4 linked regions of the Oreochromis niloticus genome follow. Each later gene encodes a partner of the first gene's protein in a complex. Links are inferred from orthologs where the notes say so. Each region holds a gene or a part of one and is shown on either strand. Other genes may lie near its edges. The genes, in order: nup93, nup35, nup58 and nup54.

Region 1 (7,105 bases):
CGCACTTGTGCTCGGCCTAATAATAATAAACAGCAGATACATAGGGCTTCGCACTTTGTCGGCCTAATAATTAAAGCTGCAAGCAGCGATATGAGGGCCCTCGCACCCCGGCGCGTCGAGCCAAGCCCAACACCTAAAACCAGCGCTTCCGATCTGATGTCACATTGATGGAATTCATGCATTTAACCACCAGCTAAATTTCATCTCATTCAACCATTATTATAGTCGTCCCACTAGGTGGCGCTCTAACCATTACTGACAAATGGCATAACAAACATTTCCGAGCTCGAGTCTCATCACGCCTGCGACCTTTGGAGAGATTGGACATTGTGTTTTTGAGCGACAGCAGGTTACTGCTTTTTGGCGAGGATTGAAACTCCACGTGCCGCCATGACCACCCCGTTTCCCTGAACGTAAAAAGCTTCGCAATTTAACATCACAAAGGTCTTTAGATTCCACACACAGGAGATCGCGTAATCTAATGAAATCCCTTGGAGGAGTTCGTCAAAGTATGAGGCCTGAAAAGAGGGGAAAATGTCGCCAAATTTACACATTAATTTAAAATGGCTGACTTCCTGTTGGATTTGGGATATTGCTCCAAGAGACTTTTTTGTACATCTTGATATCTCCAATAAGCTTGCCAGGTTTCAAACTCATACATAAAACACAGAGCAGGGGCTGTTGTTTTGAAATTTTGTAGGGGCGCTGTGGAGCCATTTTGCGCTGTTCAAGGAAATGAACATATAAAAGAAATCCCTCATCACATTAGAGGTGTGCGCCAAATTTCAAGACTTTTTAAACTTTTCAAGCCCCTCAAAAGCCACTTCATCTTTCATGGTGAACTGCATTGCCACCAGGGTGCGCCGTTCAGTTTATAGTCACAATTTTCTCACTGAAGCATAAGAGGGACTGATGGTGATATTCACCGCTTTTGAGGTGGCCACGATGAACCTGTGAAAACCAGTACAACAAAATGAAAGACATGACATTTCCTGGTGCCACTAGGTGGCGCTCTACGTATTCCTGACAATGGGCATATCAATCTGTTCAGGGCGGGTCTGACATCATCCCTGTAAAATCTGGTACTGATCAGATTGGATTTCATTGAGTTACACTAATTTGTTTCTTCATGGCGAGACCTCAATGTTCGCCATGCTGCTGGGGTCACACCCTTCAGCGAAAACTCACAGTTTTCTCTGTAACCCAAGACCAACTCCTTAAGGCTTTCCTGGAGAAATTTGAGGCTGCAGATGTCACCCATTACAATACTGTACCCCAAAGTGTAAAACATGACATTTCCTGTTCCCACTAGGTGGCGCTGTCCCTGATGTCAAATATGGCAGTTGAAATATGTTCAGGGGTGGAGCCTTATCATATGTGTCCACTTTGGTCAAGGTCGGACAATGTATGACAGAACGAGAGGCAATAAGATTTTCATGGCGAGTCATCGAAATTCGCCGTGGCGCCACGGCCTCACAGTAACCCGAAAACTCAAAAGCTCCGCAATTTAACATGGCCCAGGTGTGTAGTTGACACTGACCAAATATGAAGCTTGTATGATGAAATTCCAATGAGGAGTTCGCAAAAGTTCGAGGCATGGAAATGGCAAAATTAGAGCCAAAATGTCACCTTCACTTCCAAATGGCGGACTTCCTGTTGGGTTTAGGACATGGCCATAATAGACTTTTTTGTGCGTCTCCGAACGTTAGATATGTGTTCCGAGTTTTATACATGTAGGTCATACCCATCTCGGGGGCTCGCGTTTCTCATTTTTCTAGGTGGCGCTACTGAGCCAATTTTCCCTGGACATGTCTACAGACATTAAAATACGTAAATTTTCACCAGACCTGACGAGTGTGCAAAATTTCATGAGTTTTTGAGCATGTTTAGGCCCTCAAAAGGCCGATTCATTTGCCGAAATAATAATAATTAAAGCTGCAAGCAGCGTTATGAGGGCCCTCGCACCCCGGCACGTCGGGCCACGCCCAACACCTACAACCAGCACGTCCGATCTGATGTCACATTGATGGAATTCATGCCTAGAACCACCAGCTAACGATTCATCTCATTCAATCATTATTATAGTCGTCCCACTAGGTGGCGCTCTAACCATTACTGACAAATGGGATAACAAACATTTCCGACCTTGAGTCTCATCACGCCTGCGAACTTTGGGAGAGATTGGACATTGTGTTTTTGAGTGACAGCAGATTACTGCTTTTTGGCAAGGGATTGAAACTCCAAGTGCCGCCATGGCCACCCCGTTTCCCTGAACGTAAAAACCTTCGCAATTTAACATCACAAAGGTCTTTAGATTCCACACACAGGAGATCGGGTTAATCTGATGAAATCCCTTGGAGGAGTTCGTCAAAGTATGAGGCCTGAAAAGAGGCGAAAAAGTGGCTAAAATTACACCTTAATTTTAAAATGGCTGACTTCCTGTTGGATTTGGGATATTGCTCCAAGAGACTTGTTTGTACATCTTGATATCCTCCATAAGCTTACCAGGTTTCAGACTTATAAATAAAACACAGAGCAGGGGCTGATGTTTTGAAATTTTGTAGGGGGCGCTGTGGAGCCATTTTGCATTATTCAAGGAAACTGATCACATAACAACAAAGCCCTCATCACATTGGAGGTTTGGGCCAAATTCCAAGACTTTTTAAAATTTCCAAGCCCCTCAAAAGCCACTTCGTCTTTCATGGTGAACCGCGTTGCCACCAGGGTGCGCCGTTCAGTTTAAAGTCACAATTTTCGCACAGAAGCATCATGAAGGACTGATGGTGATACTCACCGCTTTTGAGGTGGCCACGATGAACCTGTGAAAATCAGTACAACAAAATGAAAGACATGACATTTCCTGGTGCCACTAGGTGGCGCTCTACGTATTCCTGACAATGGGCATATCAATCTGTTCAGGGCGGGTCTGACATCATCCCTGTAAAATCTGGTACTGATCAGATTGGATTTCATTGAGTTACACTAATTTGTTTCTTCATGGCGAGACCTCAATGTTCGCCATGCTGCTGGGGTCACACCCTTCAGCGAAAACTCACAGTTTTCTCTGGAACCCAAGACCAACTCCTTAAGGCTTTCCTGGAGAAATTTGAGGCTGCAGATGTCACCCATTACAATACTGTACCCCAAAGTGTAAAACATGACATTTCCTGTTCCCACTAGGTGGCGCTGTACCTGATGTCAAATATGGCAGTTGAAATATGTTCAGGGTTGGAGCCTTATCATATGTGTCCACTTTGGTCAAGGTCGGACAATGTATGACAGAACGAGAGGCAATAAGATTTTCATGGCGAGTCATCGAAATTCGCCGTGGCGCCACGGCGTCACCGTATCCCGAAAACTCAAAAGCTCCGCAATTTAACATGGCCCAGGTGTGTAGTTGACACTGACCAAATATGAAGCTTGTACGATGAAATTCCAATGAGGAGTTCGCAAAAGTTCGAGGCATGGAAATGGCAAAATTAGAGCCAAAATGTCACCTTCACTTCTAAATTGCGGACTTCCTGTTGGGTTTGCGTCACATGTAGTCACAGACTTTTTTGTTTGTCTCGGCATGATACACATGTGTGCCACATTTCATAGATGTAGCCCAAACGATGTGGTCGTAAGGCTGCATTTAACAGCGCATAGGTGGCGCTCTAGAGCCATTTCCCAGTGCTCCTATGTAAAACCATTAAAATACAAAATTTTTCACCAGACCTGGCATGTGTGCAAAATTTCAAGAGTTTTCGAGCATGTTAAAGCCCTCAAAAAGGCCCTTGTTTTGCCTGAATAATAATAATAATAATAATAATAATAAGAAACGGAGCAGATACAATAGGGCCTTCGCACTCTCGGTGCTCGGGCCCTAATAATAATAAGAAGAAGAAGAAGAAGAAGAAACAGAGCAGATACAATAGGGCCTTCGCACTCGAAGTGCTCGGGCCCTAATAATAATAACAATGATAATACACAGAGCAGATACAATAGTGCCTTCGCACCTTTAGTGCTCGGGCCCTAAAAAACCCCAATTATGACAGTAGGTGACGATATGCTTCGTTAATATTAGTTTGTTCGTTATTGAAACTGGAGAAGAAGAAGAACTTCCGGGAGGGACGCAGGACTGTCCAATCACGATCGACTCCAGAAGTGCCGGTCGGGGCAAATAATGTACTTGCATGCTGAAGAAACGGAGTAACAGAAAATAACTGTCAATACATTCACTCGTGGAGTATAAACAGGACCGTATTTTCTCCCACCTCACACAACAGGTATGAAGTGTGGTTGCTTCCAGCCGCGTTAGCAAAATGAACTTTTTGAGTTAACGCAACACTAAGAATATGTAAGAATAATAGCAGCTTAGCATGCTAGCTAACGCTGCACAGTGTAATTCATTCTGACTTGTAGCTACATGTTAGCATGCTAACGAAGCTTAGCCAAAAGGGCAGCACTGCAATAAAATAAAATGAATTCAAACGTGTTTTTATCGTGATTCACATCACGCCACTTCACAGCAGCCGGAATTAAATTTCATTTGAAACTGCATTTTTGTTGCTATTCCTAAAGCGAGTTTATAGCAGCTAAGCTAACACCACAGCGCTCCATGCGCGCGCTCCAGCTGTCAACTTTCCGAAAGCTCACACAGCTGTATGTCGTTATGTACATGGGTGTTTATGTTATTCACAGTTTGTATGTTATCGACTAGCCCTAGTCCTAAACGTGTTGTTGTTGTTGTTGTTGTTGTGGCAGTTCTCAGCTATATTACGTCTTAGACGTTTACGTGCTCACTTTACGTTTACTTCTGAATTTGTGTAAATCTCCGTCCACGCAGTTGAGGAATTGCAGTACATTTTAACCCAGTCCCTTCTTCTAAGAATTGAAAATGAACAACAAAAAATACATACAAAACCTTAGTCAGTGAGGTACAATGTTGATTAGGAATCTAAAATAACAGCAGCATATTTATGTAAAATTATCCAGGCCAATTATACATTTTTTTCCAAAAAGGATGTGAGCACCCTAAAATTATAGCTCCCCAAACCACTGTACACTATTCATCTCACCTCTGATGATGTTACATGTAAATATCTTCATTTGTTTCTCTATAGCAGCATGGATACAGAGGGATTTGGGGAGCTCTTGCAGCAGGCAGAGCAGCTGGCTGCTGAGACCGAAGCAGTGTCTGAACTTCCTCATGTGGAAAGGAACCTTCAGGAGATCCAGCAGGCGGGGGAGAGGCTTCGATCTCGCACACTGACCCGCACCTCCCAAGATGCTGCAGACGTAAAAGCGTAAGAAATATAAGAGAACTGTATTATTTTTCCTGAGGGAAATTCTTGTGGTTTCTATTATTGCACAGTGCAGTAAGAGTGGAAACAAAAACACTTAGTAGTCACAGAGTAAAACCAGCAAACAACAAAATAAAGCTGAACTATAAAATAACAAGATACAACCAAGAACAGTATGAAATAAGAACTTCAGCATGTGCAGATAGGCAGAAAATGTCCCACTGTTAATCATAATATTACTGCTACTGGCAAAAATGGTAATTGATAACAGATAATAAGTTACCAGTGTCACAGGACATGAAACATAGAGCATAGACAAACAGGACAAGTTCAAATAAAAAGTATAGATTGGGGGTGAGGGTACTGGGAGTGTGATTAACCACATACTGATCGTGGTCATGTCATATAAGGACGAGGAGTGCAAATAGCAATAGTAATATTAAATAATAATAAGAATGTCATCTACGATAACTGTAATAGCGATCCTCGTGTTTGTTTGTTTATATCTCCATCCATTCCATATAAACTCCCACATATACATACATGTGCCAATGCATACACAAGCAACTGGGGGGCAAAAAACAAATGAATGGTTAACTATGTGTATAAAGTTGTATAGTAAACAGTCACACAAGGCATTTTTAAAGATCAACATGAAAAAAGAGCCCCAAGAGCCTGGGAAGAGTTCCTTTTTATGTATAGTAGTAAGAGTCCTAATAATAATAATAGGATTCATAATAACAGACTCATGTGTATCTGAAAGGTGTGATGTAGTATATCTTACTGCAAAATTCTCATGTAAATAAAATGTATAAAATCATTTTTCATTTGTTTCCCATTAACCTCTATGATAGACGCACTCATTTATAAACTACATGTTTGGTTTTAAAGATTTAAAGAATATATTCCTTAATCAATAAGCTTGAGTGATATTTAAAGGATTTAGTCTATTTATTTTAAAACTGCATTGATATTAGATTGAAATTCTCTCTGTGATGTATGTGATGACATACATGATCTGCTGTGTAATAGTTCATATCAGTGCGTACAGTGTAAAGATCGTTTCTGTAACGGTGGTAAAGCGTTCGGCGTCCTCTAGTGGTCGTGTGGAGCAACTACAGTTATTTATCAGTCACTCCTTCATCACCTTTCTGTTTCACCTCAGGTCCATCCTCCTTGGTTCCAGAGGTTTAGACATCTTCCACATTTCTCAGAGGCTAGAAAGTCTCAGCGCTGCCACCACGTTTGAGCCCCTGGAGCCGGTCAAAGACACGGACATACAGGTATCATAAACTAGCTGCTAGCTAGCTGCTAATGCAGTATTATTTAACCTAAATGAACTGGTTCACTAGAGGAAGACTCGCTTACTACTGAGAGCACTGAGAGGTATTTTGTGGAGTGAAATAAGAAATAATCCATTGATAGATGGTAAGAAACTAGTACCTAGTCTTTTAATAAGCGTGTGCATATTTCACTTTCTCACAGAGAAACTGCATTTAGAAGTGAGGATTAAATTTGTTTTGTGGCTAAGGTCTGAAAGTAATTAACTGTAGATAATAAGTCTGCATTTGTCCCCACTGACAAGATAAGCCTGATAAAAACTGAGCAAGTGTGAAGTTTGTTAGTTAAAGGCTGAAAATGTTGAAATTTATAACTGGAGGCTGAACAGAACAAAGATTCAAGAGATAACAGAAATAAGTACACAAAGCCAACGAGTTAATTATTCCAGTGGAAAATTGGGTTTGCTGTGTGACCCACAGGCTCTGTTTTTGTGGACAGTCAAGAAAAATGACATTCATGGAAAATCTTATTGGTTTCAA
Region 2 (7,354 bases), on another chromosome or scaffold:
TTTTTGGAACCAATCCAGCACTCAAGACAAACAACCAAGAGCTTCTTCAGGCCTCTTCACTCATGAGCAGAGAGTTTGAAATCAGAAGAAAAGCCAAACACATCCATTATGAAAGAATAGAACCTGATGTTCCACACACAATTACAATGTGTATGTAGGACTATTACAATTACAATGTGTGGAACCGCACATAGTAATTACAAGTGTATAAATGTGCATCTGGGATGTCAAACATAAGACTGAGGGGCGAGAACTTCAGATTAGATTTTGGACTTTGTACTGTAATTTGTCTTTCAGACAAAATGATTTTTCTTCAGTCCTCTCAGACTGCTCATTGTGGATTACTAAATGTGAACATTTGAGAATGGGCTAAAATGTTTTTATACAAGAACAAACAAACTGGAGATGTTTGTTTGTTTGGTGAGTTGATTGGTTATTTGGGGCCATTGCACTGTTTTTCTGTTCCAGCACAACTAAGATTAGCTCAGGATCTGTATGACCAATGAACTAAAATGTGTTTGACACCTCTGAAGTTCCTTATGCAATATATGATGTCTGTTATTAAACAAGAACAACATCTGCATGGAACTCAATATGACTGACTCCAACCGAGTGACAAAAACTGAAAATAAAACAGTAGTCAGGAGGTGTGAAAATAAAGAAGAGATTGTACTAATGACTGAGACATAAAGACAACTCCCATTATTTCTCCTCAAAAAGATTTCAAAAGCCAATCAAAATAAATTTGAGAAATCTTTAAATTTAGATAGTTCTTACGTGTTGGCATTTTCTGACAGGAAAACATCAAACAAACTAAAAAGAATGAAGGTTTTTCTCATTTGTACACTAAAGCAAAAACAGAATATGTTTTATATCTTACCAAAGTCTCCACTGTCCAGCGTGATGATCTCCAAATCATCGTCATATATACCTGGACAGAAAGACAAACTTAAATACTGAACAACTCTTTGTTCACAGCAGAGCTAGCTATTCTTTTCTTTTTACAATATCCTCATAAAACGATTTCTATACAAACCATTGTAAAAACATTAAAGTGTTGAAACATCTCATTGGTTGTATGTCTGTGAAGGTTCTCAGTCATCCAGGTCATCGTAGTCAAAGGAGTTTGCAAAGAAAAGCGTCTGGACTTCTTTAAGTTGCTTGAAGACGTTTCACCTCTCATCCGAGAAGCTTCTTCAGTTCTAAGGTCAAATGGCAAATCTCATTGGTTACTTACCAAAGTCATATCTGTAGTAGTTCCAGCTCTCATAGCGTCCTCCCTGCTGCTCGTCCAGCCCTTTTTCTCCATATTTATCATATTTCTTTCTCAGGTCTTCATCCTTCAGAACTTCATAGGCACGATTGACCTGCAGGAACTTCTCGTGGGCTGAGGCGTCACCCTGAAATAGTCGATAAGCACCTGTTTTGTCAGGGTTTCATAGAGACGCGACAAATTTCAAAGAATTACGGTGTCATTTTTTTGTGTTTCTGGATTGTGGTTTGTCCATGTAACTCACAGGGTTTTTGTCAGGGTGCATGGTGAGCGCCAGCTGCTTAAAGGCCCGTCGTATCTCTTTGGTCGTCGCTTCCCTGCTGACTCCCAGCAATTCATAGTAGTCCTGGCCCTCTGCCCAAACTGCCACCAAAAGGACGGTGAGGAGCATCGGCAGCACCGTAAGCCAGACGGACCGAGGGCGCTGGGCCCTGAGGGCAACCCTGTGCGCCATGGGGAATGCTCCTTCAATGAGTCAACGAGCAGCTGCAACTAAAGGAACTGGGGCAGAAAGACACAAAGATCAGCTCTAAATACCCTGTCCACCCAACCCTGTAGCCATTACCATCCCCCTGCCTCACTAGTATCACAGTAAGTGAGGCAAACAGCTTCTTTCCACAGCAAGAAAAAAACAAATACAGTCACCACAGGAGAGCCAGCGTGTCACCTTAGGAGTGTCGTTTACATATGTGGCCTGTTTGGATTGGCTTAAAGGATGGAAGCATTATCTCTACTTTTATATAGCCTCAGGCTTTAGAAGGACAAGTGGTCTGCAGCTAAAAGAAAGAGCAGCATTTTTTCACACCATTGTCTTTTGCATTGCAGTTTCCTGCACCTTGAACTATTCAAACAGTTGCTTTGATATCTGCAGATTTCTTCCCTGTTTTCAGGGTCACTCCAGGGGGATCGCCTACTTTTACAGTACAACAGTTTTCCTTGAGAAAAAGGAACATATTACAACATATTTAGTTTTACATCTTACACAAACAAAAAACACAAATTTAAATGAAAGCTGCATCTGCTTCCACGAAGCTGCCTTTTAATTAAATGGTAATTACATTTAATAAAAGGTAGCTTTCAAAGTAAACGCCTTTATTTCTCTATTCTTGAGCAGAAACAGAGCATCCATGTAGATTTGGGAACTGTTTACAAGATTAAGGAAGAAATAAATAGTAATAGTACCACTCAGATATTTTAATAAAAATTTCAGAAGATTCTGAAAAACAAGCCTAGTGAAAAATCTTTTTCTTGATACAGTAGAAGATGCCAAAAAGGTGACACATCAAAGTACATGCACTGTTAACACGCCTGTGGTTATTACCACTGCTGGGTGTGCACAGAGGAAAAAGGAAAACAAAACATTTCTGTTAGGTTTTCTAGCTCTTCATTAGGACCCCTGAAACAAGCTAAGCTAAGCTAACAGCCAGACAACAACAACTATTCCCGTTACAACTTGCTCAGCTAACTAGCTCGTTAGCTTCACTGCGACACGGAGCTGTTTGCTGTCGTGTTGGTGAAGCAAAAGCCAATATTCGTGTAATATGTAGCAGACATTTCAATATTAATTTTTTAATGCGTCGGCTTTGTTACCTTTAAAGAGTCCCAACTTCCAAAAGTCTGGAAATGAAGATCCGCATCAGCGTCCGGCTCGGACCCGGCATCAAGTTGCACACAAGCTGCTTCCGTTTATTGTGCTTCACAATAAAGGTCTTGCAGCTAAACGGTACACTCTGAGTCTCACACAGACAACATAAAACTGTATGTATGTTCAGAAAGCCGCTCGCTAATCTAATTTCATTGTGGTACTCTGTTAATGATGGCTGCTGTTCCACCCACCAGCTAGAGTTGTAATTGTATTTTAATAACAGAAGCTCTAGCCACCGGATACATCTTGGTTGTCTGTAGTAACTTGACAAATATTTAACAGTACCAGCCACATATTGATGACGTTCACGCAAATGGTGTGTTCGTTCGTCGGCGGATGTGCGATCCCAATGCTTCCAAAACTTTTCCACGGAATTTCAGTGTCCGGAAAATAATTATGAGATAAATATTCTTAAAATAATTAAAATAAAGTAATCAAATGGGGGAAATATAATTTCAATTAAAAAACGTTGATTTAGTTATTAGATCAATGCATTTTAGTTATTCTTGAATTTTGGGTAATTAATTAGCAATCCAGCCGGCGTGTACCTTCTAATATTTCACAACATATTTGTTTTCTAGCATTCCCTGTGTGTATGTAAACGCCCTGTAAGTAATGTTTTGTTTGTTCTTCCTACTAGTGCTTTTCTTTTCATGAATTTCTCGTGGATGCAATTACTCCATCAGTCAGTACAGGTTCCGAAGAGGTTATTAATGTGATGCTAAAATGCTGATGTTTATTTGAAGCTTTTAAAAAGTTCATTTACGTTAGACTTATCAGGTACTTAGGCTATAGTGCTTTCATTGAAAATCCTCGTTTGGCCAAACCAAGGGGTTAATAATGCTACAAAAATCTTTTTTTTAAAGCTGTTCCCTTAAGAACTGGCCACAATGGATCATCTTTGTTTGTTTGTTTCTGAAGTTATCATTCAACACTGATTCCCCGTCCAATAGCAGTTTGAATCACGGAAATAAAGTCTGTAGTGGTCAAGAGAGTTTTGTCCTGTGACTATGCACAGAAACACCCTTTTTCCTCAGAGCTTGCTTGCCAGGTTTTCCCTCCTTTAATGTGACTGGGTCAGATTTTACCCAGAATGTGAAACATCAGCAGACCAATCACAACTGGAGCATTTACAGCATGAAGCAAAAAAGTGTAGTATGTTAAATTATAGTCTATAGTATATAGATTTTATTGATTCCTTTAAATGTTTTCGGTTAAGCCCAAAATAAACAAATCATCATTAAAACAAATCCCTTGTATGCGTGTTGATGGAAAAATTAACTGTAAGAAAATAAAAGCCCTCAGATATTTTTCTGTACCGCTTCCTCGCTGTTTGTACGTTCATTTCATTCATTAGAAAAATACAAATGAACGATGTTACGCAGGGCAATTGAACGCGTCATCACATTGACGCTTTCTAAATTCGCCGGAAGTAAGCTGTAGTACTTCCAGTTTAGCATCAGCCTTTTCTCCCAGCACCTCTGAGCTCCGGAAACACCCCGTGTTGGACTGAAAGAGCAGATTTTAAACCGGTCAGCTGTAACAGTTTAGATCCTTAAACACAGCACTGACTCCTAGTCGCGTTTACGGTGCAGTAACAGTGAGTTATTGTGACACATCATTTAGCTTTGCTAGCCGCGTTAGCCGGCTGCCATCCCTTTTTCCGAGCGTCACTTCCTACTTTTGAAAATCGCGGCCAGAAAGGAAAGAAACAGAGATGGAGTTACAAGGTAAGGGAAACTTTTTGAAATCTTAACCCGTTGCGTTCAGTTTGATGATATTATATATTCGGCATTTATGGGTTTATTAGGCAAGCATGTCATCTGTCAACTCTATGTTGGAGCAGCGGTGCTTATGTTCTTGCTTCTGGCGCTGTAGAAGGTAAAGCATTAAAAAAAGCCCATGTGTCGACCACAAGTGGCTGTATTTTAGTATAATTTATATATATATATATATATATATATTGATGAATACTTTAATCATTAGTTAGCATTTTTATAAACTGCGGATGTCCTAAGACGAGAGAATAAGTTAAAAAAAAAATGCTCACAGGTCACAATGAAGTTCACACCATGAGAACGTTCTTTTTTCAGTAACTAAGATTCCTCTACACAAAGCATTATTCAAATATATATACACCAATTTGCGTTCATCTCCAGATTTAACATTGATAATAAACACCTAGATTTGGGGCATTTCTTCCCGCTTGTCAGAGTGTCAGAGATAGACATGCTATCAGAAGCTTCTTAATAATATACTAGCATCTAAGCGCTAAAGCTTTATTTCTATTAATGGCTGTTTTGGACCGTCTGTCATGAAATTATCCCTGTCTCTCAGTGGGCTCAGAGCCGATGACCCTGGGCTCTCCTACCTCTCCTAAGCCAACCTCTGGAGCTCAGTTTCTGCCCGGTTTCCTGATGGGTGACCTGCCAGCTCCAGCTAGCCCACAGCCTCGCCCTTTTAGCTTGGCCTCACCACTTGCAGATAGCACAAGCACACATCGAGGTGAGTGGAAGAAGAGACACACCTGATTGTTGTCTAAAGCTTATATTTTAGATTCATTAGTGACTGATATTCATACTTAACTTATTTTAAATGGAGGAGGAGGAGGAGGTGGTGGTGGAGGTTCTGCCATGCAGCCTGTTGTCCCCACACCCAAAGACAAGAGTGGAGCCCCGCCTGTTCGCAGTATCCATGACGACCTGGTTACTGTAGCGACACCTCTTGCTGCACACAGACAGGTGAGTAAGCATGCACGGTAAAGTGAATTGTTAAACCGTCTATTTTCACATGAAAACTGCCACCTCCTGGTTTTGTAACTGAGACAACAGCAGGAGGGTTTTTGGAGAGGGAGACTGAATTAAGAAATGCAAATGGGTGAAGGCTCGGCCATCAGACGCTCCCCAATGAACCCCGACCCCAGGTCAGACACAGTCACCTTGTGTCCAGTGAGCTCACCTAGGCCATACTTCTTCACAGAGCAGTCTTTTGAATCACATTTAGTAAAGAACCAAACCCAGGACTAGTTTGGGACAGGACAGCATAGCTCCTGGGATCTTTCACGAACAGGAATGCCTCTACCCTCAATAAGGTAGTGATTCATGGAGGCCTTATAGCATTTCATGGGGACTTAATTTCTGTACATCATCATGCATGCTCAATATGATTTTCATATGTTCACAGATGTTCAGGAATAGATACAGGTGGTTGAATGGCACACAATTGGTTCCTGAGCAGGTGATCATGTGCACGATGAAAGTAAACATATAGTAGGCAATGATGCAAACCAAAAAAACCCAGTGTGACAAGGCTCATTACAGGCCAGATGACTGGCTAGTGCTTGTGTTTAATCAAAATTCATGATGACATGTGAAAAAGGCTTTTTAAAATTATGTTCCTCTGTCTGATTAACTCTCTCTACAGTCGTTCCCAGTCATGCAGTCTCCTCTGTCAGCACGTCAGGCCTCTACTCCAGGAACAGGTACACACTGACACTGCTACTACTCTGTTCATAGTGACTTTACAACAACTTCTAACAGTAATGTTTGTGTTATGTGCTGCAATGGCTAGAAGTCATCAAGGATATTTTTGTTGTAGAAACATTTAAAAACAATGGCTTCCTGAGAGTACTTTAAAAAAAAAAAATGTAAATAAATAAAAAGAGCAGCTGGTGACAGAAGTCATTGTAGCTAGTGAAGTGAGGGATTAGCCGGCTAAGTCAACAATCAAACTTTGATGGGACCAGAACTATGAGGTTGGTTATACTAATTATTACTGTCATCTGTAGCACTGGTTCACTGCTTAGTTATGGAGTGACAGATCTATATCCACAGCTGCCCAAAATCCTCTCACTCCTCACGCTTATGCCCTTAGTGGATGTTGTAAATGGGAGAAGTGGAATTCCTGGTGGTACTTTTATCTAGAAAGTTAGTGGTCAGAAAAAGCATATTCTGTTTTATAAAGGGAAACAGAGTGTTGGTCGTAGCACTAATTAGAAAATGTTACTCTTTTCTTACTTTTTGACTAGCCTAGATTTAGATTGCAGTTTGATCACAGTGACACTAAGGGAAAATGGTGGTATGAGATTGTGGCACAACCATAATTATTGCGACAGTGTGCAACAAATATGAGGCCATGTTTTCTTTAGGCTGGTTGCTTCAAAGATGGGTGGCAGGGCTGGGACGTCTCGCAGTCAGTTGCTGTCTTCAAAGCAACTTTGTTGCATCAAGATGGCAAAACGGATGAAGTCTGTCTGTGATCATTTTTTCTGTGTTAATAGACAAGACAAATAGTGACGTGGCTGCTGGATGATAAAACTGCAAAACAGACACTTTGCAACTTGTATGTGGGAATATAACTAGAACATGGTTGTAAATCACTAGACAGCCACATTTAGTATTTTTCCCTTCTCTCTTCTAGTTTAAAAGGAGGTTTCC
Region 3 (7,845 bases), on another chromosome or scaffold:
TATTAAGTTAAGTTCATCTGAAGTCCAATTTTATATAATTTTGTTTATCTTAGGTATATCTACAGATGCTTTTAGGAAATGAACACTGATATTGAACTTCCTGACTTATATATTTTGCAACACTGCATACACTATATACTGTGTATCCACTAGGGGTTTGTAATGCAAGTGTCTGATTGACTAACTTTTTAATGACAAAAAACGTGCATCAGAAATGGACACCTGTACCAACATAAGTACACTGTTTTTACCTGTGCCGTCTCCAATTTCAGTTTGTCGATGGCCAAAGCTTGGCGCTGCAGACCGCTGGCGCTGACAGACAGAAGCTGTTTGAGGCTCTTGATGTCATCTTGGACTTTAGAAATGGCCTTTGATGACATTCTGCTTATATCCTCCTGAACTTGTTTTTGCTCTTTCACAAATTTTCTGCAAAGGAATTGAGAAAAGAAGGAAATCACTTGTAGATGACATAAAAGCTCTCTGACAGATATGCCAAACTATCAAAATATGCTTTCAAAGTGCTACTACTCAAACTACATGTATGCATCTGGGATTTTACACAGAATGGGGGAAATCCTAGTGACCTCACCAGATAAAATTTGGGTTGGGTCATACTGCTGCATTCAACCTAATAAACACCTGATAAAAATCACACACCAATACTTACTGAAAATTTTCAACATCCTGACAAATAACTGGGGGCAGGTTCTCATCTTTTAGAGCTTTGCTGTCTCTGAGGGTGAGAAAAAATGTTTTTCATCATTAGAACAGAAAGGATAGTCGGTGCTAAACAATTAACAGCAGAGTGAGACACTCATTGTCTCTCAGTAATTTTTTCTCTTCTCTGCATAACAGTGTGGACTCTTTTGTTAGACAAATTCCATAAGACAGTAAAGGACCGCGTTGGGTCACTAGGACGTACTGCGCATTGGCTCCAGAAGATGTGTCGCTCTTATTCTCAGAGGAAGTGCTGAAGTCGACTCCACCCAGGCCAATACTCGGAGCAGGAGGTGCTGATGACGCTGTCGAGGTTGCCAGCAGAGAACCGAACGATAACCCGCCTCCTGCACCGAGAGTAGCCTGACCCAGACCTGCAGCAAGACATAATCATGCAGTTTACAGGACTGTGACAACTAATTAAAAAGAACACACTGTAATTCAAAGCAGTCACTGTACTCCCTTAATTATCGCAAACACTTTGCATATCTAACTCAAAAGAAGTCTGAAATCATCTATCCTAGTGATGGTATTCTGTTAATACTTGGCCATGTTTTAACACATAAGCTCTGTAAAGCTGACAGTTTGCCTCTCACCTGTGGGTCCAGTGCTGGAGAAGAGACTGCTGCCTAGTGATGGACCTGTTGAGGCTGCTGTGGTGGTGGTCGTAGTGCCGCCGAGACCGAGGGCAAAGCCAGTGGCTGTAGGCTGCTGTGGAGCTGTGGAGGTCAGGACAGAGCCAAACGTCAAGCCTGTCCCAGCAGCAGCTGTCGAAGAGGTGCTAGTAGCTGTGAGGGAGAACGGCGTAGCTGAGGCTGTGGGCTTGTTGAAAGCCAAGCTAAAGCCAGTGGTGGCAGCTGTACTGGCTGGGGCACCTGAGAGAAAGTAATTGTGTTTAAAAAACAAAACAAAAACAAAACAAAACATAGTTATTACCTGTTGTTCAGAAACACTTCAACTTCAACTTCAAAATACCCCAGAGAGAACCCCAAACATACCTAATGTGAGGCCTGTAGTGGGCGCAGCAGCACCTGAAATAACACAAGGTCCCAGCATAAGATGGGCAGCTGGCGGAAATATCACAAATAGTTTTATTTCTTTATTATTTTGCATTCTTACTTGAGGCAGGTGTATTGAAGGAGAATCCTCCAGCAGGTTTCTGAGCAAAAAGACTGCTTCCTAGGCCAAGAGATGGGGTGCTGGTGCTGGTACTGGGGGTTGCACTTGCTGTACCCAAAACTGTACCAAAAGAAAAGCCACCGGTATTGGCCGCAGGAGCACTTTCAAAGAAAAAAAGTAATAGGTTTAGGCCCATACATTCTTCTACAATATCTTCTACAAGTTTCAAATTAAGGAAAGATTGACACTGTGTTATGGTTACAGTACACACAGATTAACAACTAGGACTTTGTCAAAGAAAATACACAGGGTCTTAAATTTCTATATAGAAGACCTAAAAGGTGATAAGTGCTTTACAGATGGATGGTAATCCCAACCACATTATTACCAGTTATGAACTAATTTCCCTCTTTTTAAAAAAAGTAACTAAAACTACTAAAGCTTAATTGTTACTTCAAACACTTCTCCTGGTAGCCCGCAGTTTGCAAGAGTTCACTCTACAGTGCCTGCATGTGCAAAGTTTCAAATTATAACAGAGTTTACAAATTTATCTCATTAAAATGCTCATCTATAACCCGACATTGCTGAATAACTCGGGAAAACAACGTACACAGCACTGACTTTGAAACTCGCAAGCCGTATATGCTAACGCCAAGATACCTCTGGTTATGCTAGCGTTAGCTAAGTGGGCTATCTGAAATTTGTCGTTACCTGGTTGCGCCCCCAAATGTGAATCCTCCACCTGTGTTGGTGGACCCAAGAGCTCCCGAACCAAAGTTAAAGCTAGACATTTTCTTTTAAAAGGCACAGTGTCAACACCAATCGGTTATGTGGGCTTAGCTCACTTCTGAAAACATCACAGCTAACACGACAGTTAGCTTAGTCGCCCGCGTGAGGGCCGAGCCCGCGGTCCCGTCTTCACCAAAACATACTTGAACTCATCAGCTCTCTCACTAAATCCCAAAATATTCAGTTGCTACCCGCTATGTTTACACAACCTGTTCCTCCGCTTCTATTTCTTAAACCTGACAATTATCGCAGGGTGCATTCACGCATGGTGTCACTTTTCTTATTCCCCGCCTGGTATGTCCTATATGCTAGTGCATTTTGGGTAGTGGATTTTCTTTTTTCAACTACATTAACCGTCATCCCCGCAGATATAGCGTCTCGTGATGTGTCACGCATGCGCATGGGATCAAGTCTGGCAGTCCTTAGCAGCAAATGTATGTTGAATCCGGTGTTCCTTTCAAAATAAAAGAGGCAGCTACAGACTATAATTACAACGCGGTAGATGAATAGCTCAGAGTACATTAATGTATTTGCAAAATTGAGTATAACTGGTTGCACAATGCTGATTCAAAATTGTCATTGTCTCTGTGAGTTTAAATAATCTGTTACTTACCTGATAAATGAGCAACAGCTCCATCATACTGAACCCGGGGCGGACGAATGGTTCAAAAGTTTGTGTCAGAAATAGTTTTTGGTAACCTAATGAACCAAAAAATTATGAAAACAAATATGTTGCAAATATGTTATCTGAGCTTTTCAACATTTGTTGAATTGTTCCACGTTTTTTCTTTTGGCCCAGAAATGTTGCAGAACATCCAGGTCATCTTTTGCAAACTCTGGAAAATATATTTTATCAATATTAATATCAATTAATGTTTTAATTTCATATAAACATATTAATACATGTTTCAGCAGGGATTTATTCAGATCTTTTGACATTAGGTTTGGGTTCTTTTTTTTGTTTTGCTCTCAGTGTGATATTTGCTAGATGTAACCTGTGCACAGTCCTGAATTTCATCCCTTTGTAGAGGGTGCCAAGAGGAACTGTGGCACTGCATGAGGAAGTCAGCAGTGGCAGGGAAGTATGTGAGGCTGGTGCTGTACTTGTTTTAGGACAGCAATACAGTGGTGAGGTGTGTGGTAGGCAAGATGGAGCCTAGCGACATGGAGAGAAGATCTGGTCTGGAGAGAAGAGGAATGGAAGTCAGAAGAAACAAGACAGAATCTGTGAGAATTAGAGGGAGACATGTGGAATGATAAAGCTGCAAGGAACAGAGGAATGATAATGAAGTTGGATGAGTTTACCTGAGGTCACCCATCCGAAACAATGGACAGATTTAGAGATGAGATGGACTGAACATATACAGAGGAGCAATGCTGTATCTACTGGACGAAAGATGTTGACTATAGAGCTGACAGGGACGAGGAAAGAGAAAAACTTCAGAGGGGGTTTGTAGATATAGTGAAGGGGGGCATGCAGGAGAGATGGGGTGAGAGAGAGGAAGATGATCCGCTGTGGTGATCCATAAGGGGAGCAGCTGAAAGAAGAAGAAGTGGACAGTTTGTCTTTTTGTGGACTGACCCACATCTGTAGAAAGGTTGCAGCAGCCTATTCCAGAGTCATGCTGAATCCTTAGTCTGATACACCGTCAAAGTAGTTATTTAGATAGTCAAAGGATGAACCAATTTCTCTTGAGAAGAGCACACGTTGTAAGTATATTTGCTTTAGTTTGACAACATTTTATAAGTAATCATGCCAATAATTATTATAGGTTGTAATTTTTTTATTATCTTTTATTTTGATTTCATTTTAACTTTGCTTTTCATTCAGTTAGTTTCCCAAAGTAGGTTTGATGGTTTCAGTTCAGTTTTTGTTGTTTGGAAAATGTTTAGTTTTAATCTTTTGAAGTATTATTGTTTTTGGAAAATATATACTACAGGACGGATTTAGAAAAAAAATCAGTGTCAATATTATAACATAAGAAGAACTTTTTGAAAGCAGTTGACTCACAGTCATACAGACATACAGAATCTCAGTAAGCTTGTCCATCAATGGCTCATTCTATTATTTTTCTTAGTTTTCCGAGTTCATTTCAGTTCATTTTCTTTATATCAAAAATCTATTATTGTCTTTTAATTAACTAAAGCGTTTTTCACAAATAGTTTAAGTCTTTAGGTTATATTAATCACGATAACTTCAAATGGCTTACAAACTCTGCCCTACAACCGCAACCACCAAAAAAGTAAAGGAATTCAAAGTTGAAGTTGATCCGGCTTTTATTTTGAAAAACCCCACCTCAAGCGCCGACGTGCTTTGCGCGAGCTTTACGCGGATGGAGTGAAAATAATTGACAATAAACACATATCGTATGCCCCCGAAAAAGTGAAGGCGGCTTGTGCAGGAGTCGAAGCTGTCACATCACCAATGATACATTTCAATCCGGAGGGTTTCGTTTGAAGCTTTGCAGTCGCTGACAGCTGTTTCGACCCGGGGGGGGGAAAAATGGAGCATATCCGAACGCCAAAGGTAGCTAACGTTTCTTGCTAATTGCAAATGGATGGGATACAGTCGGCAGCTGGGCCTTGTCTGTTTGCGATTTTGTTGGAAGGCTCGAGTGAGGCTCCGTTTTCTGGCCATCAGTGTTCAGAGTGAATTTGTGTGAATCGACGTTATAGCGTGGCGGCTAGTAGGTGTCGCCAACGACTCCAAGTGTCAGCAGACGTGACGAGCATCAATGAGCCGTTTGTTTTTTCCCGTTCATCAGGCAGATCGGCTTCCTCTATCTAATTTTACTACTTGCACGCTCTGCTATTTGTTGCGACAGATATCCACTGTCAGTACAGCCATTGAATTCAGTGTGATTGAAGAAGCAAGGAGAAGCCGGACCATATCCAGCACAGACACGCAGGGCTGACTTGGACTGTACGTCAAATAGGGCCATCACAGTTTTATCATCGGCATAAAACGCCAGACAGTGAGCTCACTGCCCGGGCTAAATCACTCCAGATAGACCAGATTAAAAGGAAAGCAACCAGCTGAAAAAGGCGAGAGTCGAGGAGTGCTGCAGTACAAGTTTAGCCCTGCCAGGCCTGTACTGCTAGAAAATATACTGCTGTGTGTGTGCGCGCAAAAGAGCTGATCTCTTTAACCCTTAAATCATTGATCCTTTCAAATCTAATCTACAGCCATTCAAAAACAACCAACAACAGCCAACAGTCCTAGTACATATAACCTTTGTAATCTTCATAATTCTTTTTAGTCTGCCACATGGTGGCTGGGTGTGCTTAATGTTATCTAACGTCTGTGTTTTTGATCATGTTAGGAAGCAGTATGACACGATTCTTGAGGTTCAAGGACAATTGTGTTATTTGTCGGTGGGGAAAAAATAAAGAAATGCTGAGATCTGGTATGGAAACAGACGGGGAACACCCATGCAGAATGGGTGTTCCCCGTCTGTCTCCACACCTTTCAGTGGTTTGTCTGGTTTAAAAGTCGGAGGAGATTATTATTTGATGTTATAGTGTTGAAAACAAGCTGCTTGTTGTAACAATCTGGGTGGTTTAAGTTGCATAGGCACGTAACAGAATGAAACACAAATCCTAACATTAACTTCCCTATAAGATGGTATGAGGTGGTCTCTGTCCTCCCTCTCTCTTCCCTTTCTCTCTAACCTGCTCATTTATTCTCATGCAGACACACACACAAACACACACACACACTCAGCTGACTTCCTGTATGTTCCAAGAAGCTGACTTATGACAGAGCCGCGACCCGCAGGTTGCTGAGCGACCTAGAGAGGCTTGATCGTTTCATCATATCTCAGCAAACGGAAACAAAGTGGAGGATGTCTGAGTCAACCAGAAACAGCTAATGTGATGAATCATGGATTCGGACAGGTAGTGCTAACAGCACTGCACAGTCCAAAAATCAGTGACTTTCCAAATGCACTTTGGCTATAGAGTGAAGGTGGCAGGAGCTTTTATTTTGATATGTCTTGTCTCTGTGATGCAACAGTGCAGAGCAAAGTCCAATGGTGATATTGTTTGGGTTTGTTTTATATTGTTGTGACACCAGTCTCATAAAGATCTTTAGTAACGTTTTAAAAAGATTGTGCTGTATAAAACTGCTTTCATTCATTTATTTATTTTTTTCTAGGATGAAAACCAGAAGCACATTAAAGGTTTTTTTTAAAACCTGTTATAGCTATTAGACCTAAGCCTTCTTCCTGTGTGAAAACTCGTGACTTGAGTAAATATATAACTCACTATATCTGCTATATCTGCATTTATGTGGTATTAGTGTTAAAAGTTGCTACACTTTCACTGTTGCAGCAATTGAATATAAATTTTCAATAAGGAAGTAAAAACAAAATGAACTGTGTTTGACTTTAAGCTAGATAGGATTGTTTAATTAAGAGGCAGGTGGTTTATTTATTAAGGCAGTGGCAGCAAATGTCACTTGTGATTGCACTTATTAAAATTAAACTGGCAGCTGATAGTGAGGGCCAGGTGGCCAGGATTAATTGGTGTGCTAGCCGGAACTGGTGCCAGTAATTTTTCTGTCAGGTGTCAACCCTGCTCGCAAGATGCCGTCTCTTGTAGTCTCAGTGTATCCAGCAAGAGAAGCAAAGGGTGCTCCTGATTATTTAGATATTACCACTATGTACATCTGTTTTTGCAGGTGGAGCAGGTGCGGCTGTTGGATCGCTTCAGCAACAAATCCATTCACGGCACTCTGTACCTCACAGCCACGCATCTCATCTTTGTGGAGAGCAACTCTAACAACTCGGCCTCTGCTGGACAGGAGGTCTGGGTGAGTAGTTTTTGTGCCAACTATGCTGCCCATTAATGCAGGTTTCAGAGTGCTTGCATATGGATGTCACCTCAGCAAATGCACTGTTGTGCAGAGGCAGGAGGATAGCAAGTGCTCACAGAACTTTTACCTCCTGTTGCCAGTTTTCTATAAATTGATGGTGCAGTTTCATGCAAACCAAGTGTGCTCTTTAGACAATTTGGTCCTCTTTTTAGTCTACTAATAAATATTTATTACCCTGCAAAATGTTTTTATGTTTTTCACTCCTGCTACACCTCTGTGAAGGTTTGCTCTGTGTGTGTGGTTTAAAACCCCACCTTTCTAGGCTTTGTGTCTAGGGGTGTAATTCTTGCTGGGGTTCAAATCCCGGACAAGCCCCCAATTGTTACAACCTCTATGTGTGTGAC
Region 4 (7,923 bases), about 46 Mb from region 1:
TCCTTTAGAAAAGGAAGGTGAGGTCCTCTGTCCTCTTCCTTTGTGTAGGGCTCTGGTCAAAGAAGTCAAAAACAAAACCAAAACATTTTTTAAACAGTGTTTATAAAGCATGTAGACAGCTCCAAATTCACAGCTTTTTGATACATAATTCCATCAATATATGATTATCATTGGAGATTTTGAATCAGGCTTATCAGGACATTCAAGTAGAATATGATATCCAACCTACCACCAATATACACAGATTCTGTAAAAGTTACCACACTAAATGTCCAGTTGTGAAATATGATGACAGACTTTACTTATCAGCTTTCTTTCAATGAGTTCATCAGTTGAACTGGATAACCTAAAACTTAAACAAAGGAGAACATTTCGCAGTTGAACACTTACATCATCATTGAAGCATTTTATGAGCCTAGTCAGCCCTCCTATGCCGCTCTTGATTTTCTACAGCTCCACGAACCTCTCCATAATGGTCAAGCACAGCAAAAAGGAACCCTTTCAGGTCAACAGATGTAAGACGGGCAAATTCTGCTTCAACCTGAGCAATAGAAGAAGAGGGGTGGAGAGTACAGGCAGAATAAAAAAAAGATTCTTTGAGACCCAAATTTAAGCAAACAGTCATCTGAGGCCCATTAGAGAAAACACAAACACACAAAAGCAAACAAACAAAAAGATGCACTTTACCTGCCGTTCAGCAAACAAGGAAGTTCACAGAACAATAAGCTCTGTCTTGAAATCTTTTAAAGTAGAATGATTGTGAAAATGACTTATGTGATGTAAAACTTTAGTAAATGTGCGATTAAAAGAACACTGAGTAAAAGGACAAGTAACAATTTCCTTATTCCTCAGATGTTTACCTTGATGAGCAATACTGTTTTAGTCCAACTGCCTCATTAAAGTTACACAACAGGCTTTTTACATTAAAGCCAGCAAGTCCATTACATACTCCCTTTTTAGATCTGAAATACTGTGCAGATTCTGTGTATATGTAGTGGACAGCAATTTACCCAAAAGAGTGCAAAGTTTGCAAGTCCACCTCATTTAAATGACAAAGACAGATGTGATCATCTAGACCTGTGAAAATAAATTAATGACAAACTTGCAGTTATGGATGTTATTACAACCACAAGAACCTAAACAGTCTGCTCCATTGCTTTTGTTAATGAATCATTTGTTGGTAACAGGTCTGAATATTTAGTTTATGCCACCTGCATGTGATCATCAATAGTGCCATATTACTTCTTAAGAAGTACCCTGACACTACAATCTTTATATCATTTGTTCTACAGAGCTATTAAGTTACAATATAATCTGTGGTGTTTCCAGTATGACAAAATGCACAAATTGTAACTTACCATTTGACTCCACTGACAAAAATAAATCCCCAGCATCAAGTTTGGCTTCACAGACCTAAAATAAGTAAAATAAAAATATATGTTATAATTATATTGTTTTCGCCATTTATTCATGTTTGCTAATTTTCTGACATATAAACAATATTAGTTTTGTTACAATACAGAGAATGCAGTTTAATTAAAAGGTAAATTATGCAAAAAAACAAAAACAAAAAACTTCTGCAGTATACCATGCCAAAAATCAGTGTCTCTGATGCCAATTATTTTATCACTACAGCTCTTTTAGTATGGAAACTCACACAATCTAGTCATACTGATCACAAGAGTTCAAAAATAAGTTAAAATAGTGAGCTGTTGTTAAGCATAAAGCATTTCAGGGTAACAAATAACTGCACAATAGAATTAAAGCAAAAAATAAACACACTGGAGGACTATCTGATAAAAACTAATATAATGCTGGTTTGTAGACCATATTTTGTCTCAATCCTCAGTGCACTCTTGCAGCTTAGCATGCAGCAGTTAATAACAACTTAAGTGATTACATAGGGGTAAACAGATGACAACAAGCATCGGAGTCCTGCCAAAAAGTTCTTTTTGAACCCAGTCAGTTATTGGAAATATTGCCAAAATGAACTTCCACCAAAATACAACAGCCTGTGAACTTGAAAGAAATTTACAAGTACAGAGACAATATGAAATAAGCTTTATTAATTAGCTGAGTTAGCTTGCTAATATCGCAACAGTGGTTGAGTGCACAACCTTAAAGCTAGCGGCACAATACTTGTGATTTGGTCAGTGCCACATTAAACCCATAAAAAAGGCCATGTGTCAGTTTATTAGGTCAAGTTTGGTCATGACACACAAGCTGGACCTTGTCGGCTAAAGTTACATTAGCTAAAGCAAACATTTCGGTAAAAGAGAAAAACACACATCATGCCATAAATTCAAAACATGTTCCAACTTTTGTAGCTCTCTTTCCTTATAGTTATAACCAATGTTACTCACCTTGAAAGCATATTCCAAAGAAGACGATTAGAAAACGTCCAAGTAAAGTGAGCATGTCGTTAACCGCCAATTCCCCATGATGCACCTCGGTAGGAGTCACGTGAGGCAGTTTTGAATCCTGCTGTGCTCAACTTACCCACATTGTCAAGTTCACATAAGTTTCTGATTTAGCTGGACATGAGTTTTCAAGTTAGCTTTTTTTGGTGTAATTGGGACGTTTTTAACTTGTAATTCTATGTTATAACAACAACTTCAGTCATCTATCGTCAAACTGATATAGAATAATATGTTGAAATAACAAACATCTAGAATTACATTTTACAGTGCAGTGGCGGTCCTAGCCTGTCTGGTGCCCTGGGCGAACACTCCCTCTGTGTAAATGTGTAAAAAATGTTACATAATGTTTGGAGTTTAGTCTGTTACTGTTACTATTTTTACCATTTTTTTTTTTTACCATTTTTACCATTTCTTCTTGGAGCAACTGTAACCCACATAATTTCCTTAGGGATTAATAGAGTATTCTGATTCTGATTGTTTCAGGATACATGACCTGCCATTATCCAATGACACATCTGCTTACCTGTATCTTTTGCTCGTTTCTCCTCCTCTTCTTTTCTCTTTTTTCTAAACTGAGCACCTGATGGCTTTGAACTTTTCTAGTCCATCTTCCATTGGTTTTCATTTTGCACTCCAGTATGAACACCCATCCTTCAACCCGAGGATCACCACAACATAACCTAATAGACCTACACCTTAGTTCACAGATTCACTTTGTCTGGGGTTTATTTCTGGGGTTTCACACAACCCAGGATTCAGATCATGAATACATAATGGTTTTTGGATTTACAACATTATGAATGAAATGTGCTCTATTTGGAAGCAGCAGGGCTCTCCTCCCCTTTCGACGGGTTGTGTGTGAGACTTTAAATCATCAAATTGTAAATTATAAATTTTAAATTGTTATTGATCCCTGTTATTGATTTATTTTCTTACTATATTGTTTGTTTACTTGCACTGCAGTAACTGGAGCCTCGTCGTCTCGTCTCTCTATATACTGGACTGTATGTAGCGGAGATGACAATAAAGTTTACTTTGACTTCAGCAGCAAGCAGGCGCACCGAGGGCTCTCGCGCTCACTTTTCGCGTATAGAATTTCGAAAAAACATCGGTGCAAATTATAAGTCTGTATCATTATGTCTGATGTTTTCGTGTTTGTTGGTTTGTTTTTATTTTGTTTTATTTTGCGGGTTGGTTATTAGATGCTGCTCCAGCCAGCCAGAGAATCCCCCGCCGCCCCGCCCTCTCCTCCCTGTGCCGCAAGCAGCAGGCGCACCTCGCAAACGGATGGCGGCCTTACTCCCAGCAAATGGGCGATAGAAAACCGATCGGTGCCTACGACATTCCCAAAATGCGCTGGCATCATGTCGGGGCAGCGTGAGTACGAGCAATTTTTTTTTTTTTTTTTTTTTGCCCGTGATGCCGCCCCGGGCAACCGCCCGTGTCGCCCGTATCAAAAACCGCTACTGATCTACTGGGATTTTCCCACACAAGTATTTCTAGGGTCTAAAAACTATCCAGTGAGCTGTAAAGGTCAGAGGAGAATGGCCAGACAACTTTGAGGAGAAGATTATCTCTGAACGCATAACACATCAAACCTTAATGCAGATCTGCGACAGCAGCAGAAGGCCACAGCGATGCCACCCCTGTCAGCTAAGACGGGGAAACTGAGGCTACAATTCACACAGGCTCACCAAAATTGAAAATAGAAGGTTGGAAAATGTTTTCCAGTCTCAGTTTCTGCTGCAACATTTGAATGGTGCTGTTGTAAACATCCTGACTTGTATCAGCTGGGCAGGTTGTTGGTGGTGCTGGTGTAATGTTATCTTCTTGGCACATTTTGGCGCCTCTTAATACCAACTGAGCATTGTTTAAATATGACGGGCTGCCTGAGTATTGCTGCTGACCATGTCCATCCCTTCTAACAGTGTACCCATTTTCTGGTTCCAGCAGAACAATGCATCATTTCACAAATCTCAAATGGTTTCAAGCTAATTTTTTGAACATAAAGAGTTTATTGTACTCAAATGGCCTCTACAGTCTCCAGATCTCAATAAATAGAGATGCAATGTGCTAATTTCCATCATGCATGTGTAGAAAATAAATCTGCAGGGTGCCCAAAAATTGATTCCCAGGATTTAAACAGTTGTAAATGACATGCTGGCTTAAAATCTTCCAGAAGGAAGATTCCCATTGCAATGTAAAAAGCTAAAATAAAAAAAAAAACGATATAATTATATAACATATATTTTATAATGTTGGTACAGTATTGCAGAGTAATAATCATACTTGCAAAGCAGGTCATTTCTTTATTTATATATAAAACCCCTTCATACCCCCTCTTGATTGCAATCTATTTACCAATATAATCAAATATAATGCACATAGAAGACACACGGAAACATCTCACTTATTGACACAACACCGGTCCTGTTCCTTGCCACAAATATTTTTCATAAAAGTACTCTATTTGTTTCGGCGGCTGTTGAATTAACATTTTGGGACAGCAGGTGGCGGTAGTGTGCCACCCAGTTGGACCAGAGTCAGACGAAGAAGCAGCAGCAGCAGAAGACGAAGAAGAAGAAGAAGGTGTCTGTGGTGACAGCACTCAACATGGCGTTCAATTTTGGCGGTGCCACGAGCAACCCAGCAGCAAGTATGGATATTTTTTAGTTAATTGGGAAATACTTGTAAGAGCTGGTAATGTGTTACATATTTCATGTCGAAGCTAAAGCTGTGTTAATGCTTGTACATGAGTTATAAATAGAAATGGCAATGCTAATGGTTCACCCTCAGTTGTTACGGTGGGTTCGTCTACCGGCTAACGACAGACCTCACGTGAAAACGGAGAGCTTTTACACTTGAGTCAGTGCAACTAATGAACTGTAGTCGGATTTGTGTTCGCGTGTTTCGGTGCTAATCTGGGCTCCAATGAGACCGAGCTCTTGTGGCTAACTGTTTTGGATGCCCGTGTGTAAGCTAAAACAAGCTAAACTCACCCAGTACTTACAGCGCTCTCTCGTTGTTTGTTTGTTTCTAAAAGGCACGTCCGGGTTTTCATTCGGTTCATTTGGAGCCAAAACTACGCCATCGACAACATTTGGCTTCGGGACCCCAGCCACTACCACCACAGCCTCATCCGGATTCGGTAGTAAGTCCACAGCTCAGACCCAGATTCCTCCTTGCGGGGATTATCCTGTGCGTGGGGCATTATCATCACGTAACCGCCACCAATATGAACATAGAATGGGTTTTTTCCCAAACCCTTCTCCTCAAAGCATAACTGAGCCCACTGGGTTCCCTCAGTCTAGGGCTCAAAGGTTCTGGGTTGTTTTGTTTGTTTTAAATTGGGCATTTCTTCACCTCTCGATGCATTTTGAACATATCTACCAGTTGGTTTCTTGGGTTTCCTTTTTAAAGCTTTAACACTGGCAAACTAAGCACTCACTATATGGTGCACCTCACAGATACAGGCAGCTGCTAATCAGTCCTAAATAACAAACTAATTAAATACTCAAATGTCACTCATAAACCCAAACTGCTTGGATGGATGGTATCACACAGCAAGCCATATTATTTGCCAAAAAATTCATTTTAAAATGCTCAAAAGGGCACCAACGCTATAAACATTGTCAGGGGGTCCAGTTCATGATGAGCTTGATGAAGACCACCACCTGAAAGGCATTGGTGGTAAAGCAAGCATTCCTGGAGCTTCTCCAAGAGGTCTGGTTATTTGGATTAGCAACCAAATGTGCATTTTCTCACTGTTTAGCAAGTGGTTGTTGGCTGTTGTTGCTGTGAAATTGGTCTCAAAGAAGAATGCAGTGGTGCATTGAAAAGCCTCCTTGTGATTGCTAACAGATAAGTGGTCGCATATAGTTTGCATGGAAGATACACCAACTGCTCTCCATGCACTAGTAAAACTGCGAAAAGTGTGACACAAACTGTAAACTGGGAGTGTTCACCTTCAGAGTAAAAGTTGTATGTTTTGAAACGTATTGGTTGAAATGCTGAGGCATATGTCATTTGAGGGCAACAGAACTGCGTTTCTGGTTTGTCGCACTTTTTCCAAGTTTCACTACTACTCGACAAGTAGTTAGGTGTTTGCAGACAAGTCATCATCTTCCATAAGATGCTTTTGATGCAGCATTTTCGTTGCAACCGATTTCACTCAGTGACAGCCAGCAGTCTTCAGCAACCAATCGCCAACCAGGGAATGTGTTTTTTTTTTCCCTTGCAACCAGTGGTTGCCACGTAGTTGCCAGCTAGCCTCAAAGCCTGTGTGATCTTGTCTAAATAGGGCCTTACTAGTATTCAACACAGACAGTTACATACAGTCCAAAACTACTAGGCTGTTAATGTGGTTTTCATAGCTGAAGTTGAGCATTTTATCATGGGAGTCTGGGGATTCACTCACATCTGGGAACTGGAATTGTGGGCACTTTAGTAAACGGTCCCTTTTTAAAAAAAAAATTCCTTCAGCGGTTGCTACATAGAAGTTAAAGACCCTCTTCTGCTGGCTGTTAATGTTTCGTTTTACTAACTAATGCAAAATAAAGCCATGCATATATAATGTATTATTTCTGTGTGCTTTGCCTTCATTAGCTCTAACAGCCCCTGGTTTTGGGGCAGCCACCACCACCACTGCTGCACCAGCCACAGGCTTTAGCTTTGGCTCCACCAACACTGGTAAGATGCTCATTGTTCAGACGCGTAGCTTTTCTTTTAAGACACTTGAAGACTGTTTTTACAATAAATGAGTCCGTGCTGAATCTGGCATTGTGTCATTTAATTCCATGTCATTCTCTCTTTCTCGCTGCCTGCCTGCTTTGGCTGCAGGATTTGGGGGGCTGGGAGCTGGAAACACCACGGCTGGTGGGTTTAGTTTTGGGGGGTTCGGTTTAAATGCAAACCCGGCAGCAGTCAGCTTTAATGTGGGGTGCTTTGGTACAGCAACCACCACTGGCACAATTTTCAATTTTGGTAATAGCCTGGCTAGCACAGGTAGATGACCTTTGTGAATCAGTACACTCTGTCTGTAAACTTACATTTCCATCCATTGTTTGATATCTGTGTGGATCAAGGATCGTTTTATCTTCACCTGGTGATTCATTTCATGAACACAATACATCGCTGTGATTGCATGAAGAGACAAAATGTTGAATTTTTTTACTCATTTCATTTGATTGCTGTGAAGAGTCAGTACACTTTCACCTTTGTGTAGAGGTAAATCGCTATATTGTAGTGAAATTCTCATTCTCCTCTTATTAATGGTAGCAGTTGTGAATTCATTCTGTCATTCTCTCACCTGTTTTGTTTGTTGGTTTGCTTTTGGGGGGTTTTGTCGCCTCGTTGAGCACATTTCTTTTCTCTTCTTCTTAGGCACATTCGGTGGCTTCGGAACAACAACGACAACTGCTGCTGCACCAGGGGCAACATTTAGCTTTGCTCCCCCTGCAACGGGTTAGTTATAGAGCTGGTTTGAACCCCCACTCTGCCTTAT

The links.
Region 2: the proteins of nup93 (region 1) and nup35 are in contact, whole or in part, in a crystal structure (PDB 7MW1), measured with the Homo sapiens proteins. The link is inferred for Oreochromis niloticus from reciprocal best matches to the Homo sapiens genes NUP93 and NUP35. Residues at the interface, in NP_055484.3 of Homo sapiens: Tyr266, Tyr269, Asn402, Ala407, Asp408, Lys409, Thr410, Glu411, Tyr413, Tyr448, His452, Phe453, Val455, Asn456, Leu461; in NP_612142.2 of Homo sapiens: Ala88, Pro89, Pro90, Val91, Arg92, Ser93, Ile94, Tyr95.
Region 3: nup93 (region 1) and nup58 share a complex: the UniProt entries of both Homo sapiens proteins name them as parts of the p62 complex. The link is inferred for Oreochromis niloticus from reciprocal best matches to the Homo sapiens genes NUP93 and NUP58.
Region 4: nup93 (region 1) and nup54 share a complex: the UniProt entries of both Homo sapiens proteins name them as parts of the p62 complex. The link is inferred for Oreochromis niloticus from reciprocal best matches to the Homo sapiens genes NUP93 and NUP54.

What each region holds. Positions count from the first base shown.
Region 1 is NC_031972.2:63,343,215-63,350,319, reverse strand, and holds the start of nup93 (nuclear pore complex protein Nup93), read left to right. Parts: upstream 1-4,100; 5' UTR 4,101-4,268; intron 4,269-5,105; 5' UTR 5,106-5,109; coding exon 5,110-5,288; intron 5,289-6,450; coding exon 6,451-6,568; intron 6,569-7,105. UniProt on the Homo sapiens protein: Plays a role in the nuclear pore complex (NPC) assembly and/or maintenance. May anchor nucleoporins, but not NUP153 and TPR, to the NPC. During renal development, regulates podocyte migration and proliferation through SMAD4 signaling.
Region 2 is NC_031987.2:30,648,338-30,655,691, forward strand, and holds the start of nup35 (nucleoporin NUP35), read left to right. Parts: upstream 1-4,343; 5' UTR 4,344-4,635; coding exon 4,636-4,648; intron 4,649-5,255; coding exon 5,256-5,423; intron 5,424-5,519; coding exon 5,520-5,659; intron 5,660-6,341; coding exon 6,342-6,399; intron 6,400-7,354. Other genes in the region: dnajc10 (dnaJ homolog subfamily C member 10), read right to left, coding at 881-931, 1,238-1,400, 1,518-1,727. UniProt on the Homo sapiens protein: Functions as a component of the nuclear pore complex (NPC).
Region 3 is NC_031974.2:22,932,740-22,940,584, reverse strand, and holds the start of nup58 (nucleoporin p58/p45), read right to left. Parts: upstream 3,004-7,845; 5' UTR 2,628-3,003; coding exon 2,548-2,627; intron 1,998-2,547; coding exon 1,837-1,997; intron 1,749-1,836; coding exon 1,716-1,748; intron 1,593-1,715; coding exon 1,314-1,592; intron 1,092-1,313; coding exon 923-1,091; intron 734-922; coding exon 668-733; intron 427-667; coding exon 252-426; intron 1-251. Other genes in the region: phosphatidylinositol-3,5-bisphosphate 3-phosphatase MTMR6, read left to right, coding at 5,129-5,152, 7,307-7,438. UniProt on the Homo sapiens protein: Component of the nuclear pore complex, a complex required for the trafficking across the nuclear membrane.
Region 4 is NC_031972.2:17,440,396-17,448,318, forward strand, and holds the start of nup54 (nucleoporin p54), read left to right. Parts: upstream 1-4,916; 5' UTR 4,917-5,033; coding exon 5,034-5,076; intron 5,077-5,463; coding exon 5,464-5,571; intron 5,572-7,025; coding exon 7,026-7,109; intron 7,110-7,259; coding exon 7,260-7,424; intron 7,425-7,802; coding exon 7,803-7,883; intron 7,884-7,923. UniProt on the Homo sapiens protein: Component of the nuclear pore complex, a complex required for the trafficking across the nuclear membrane.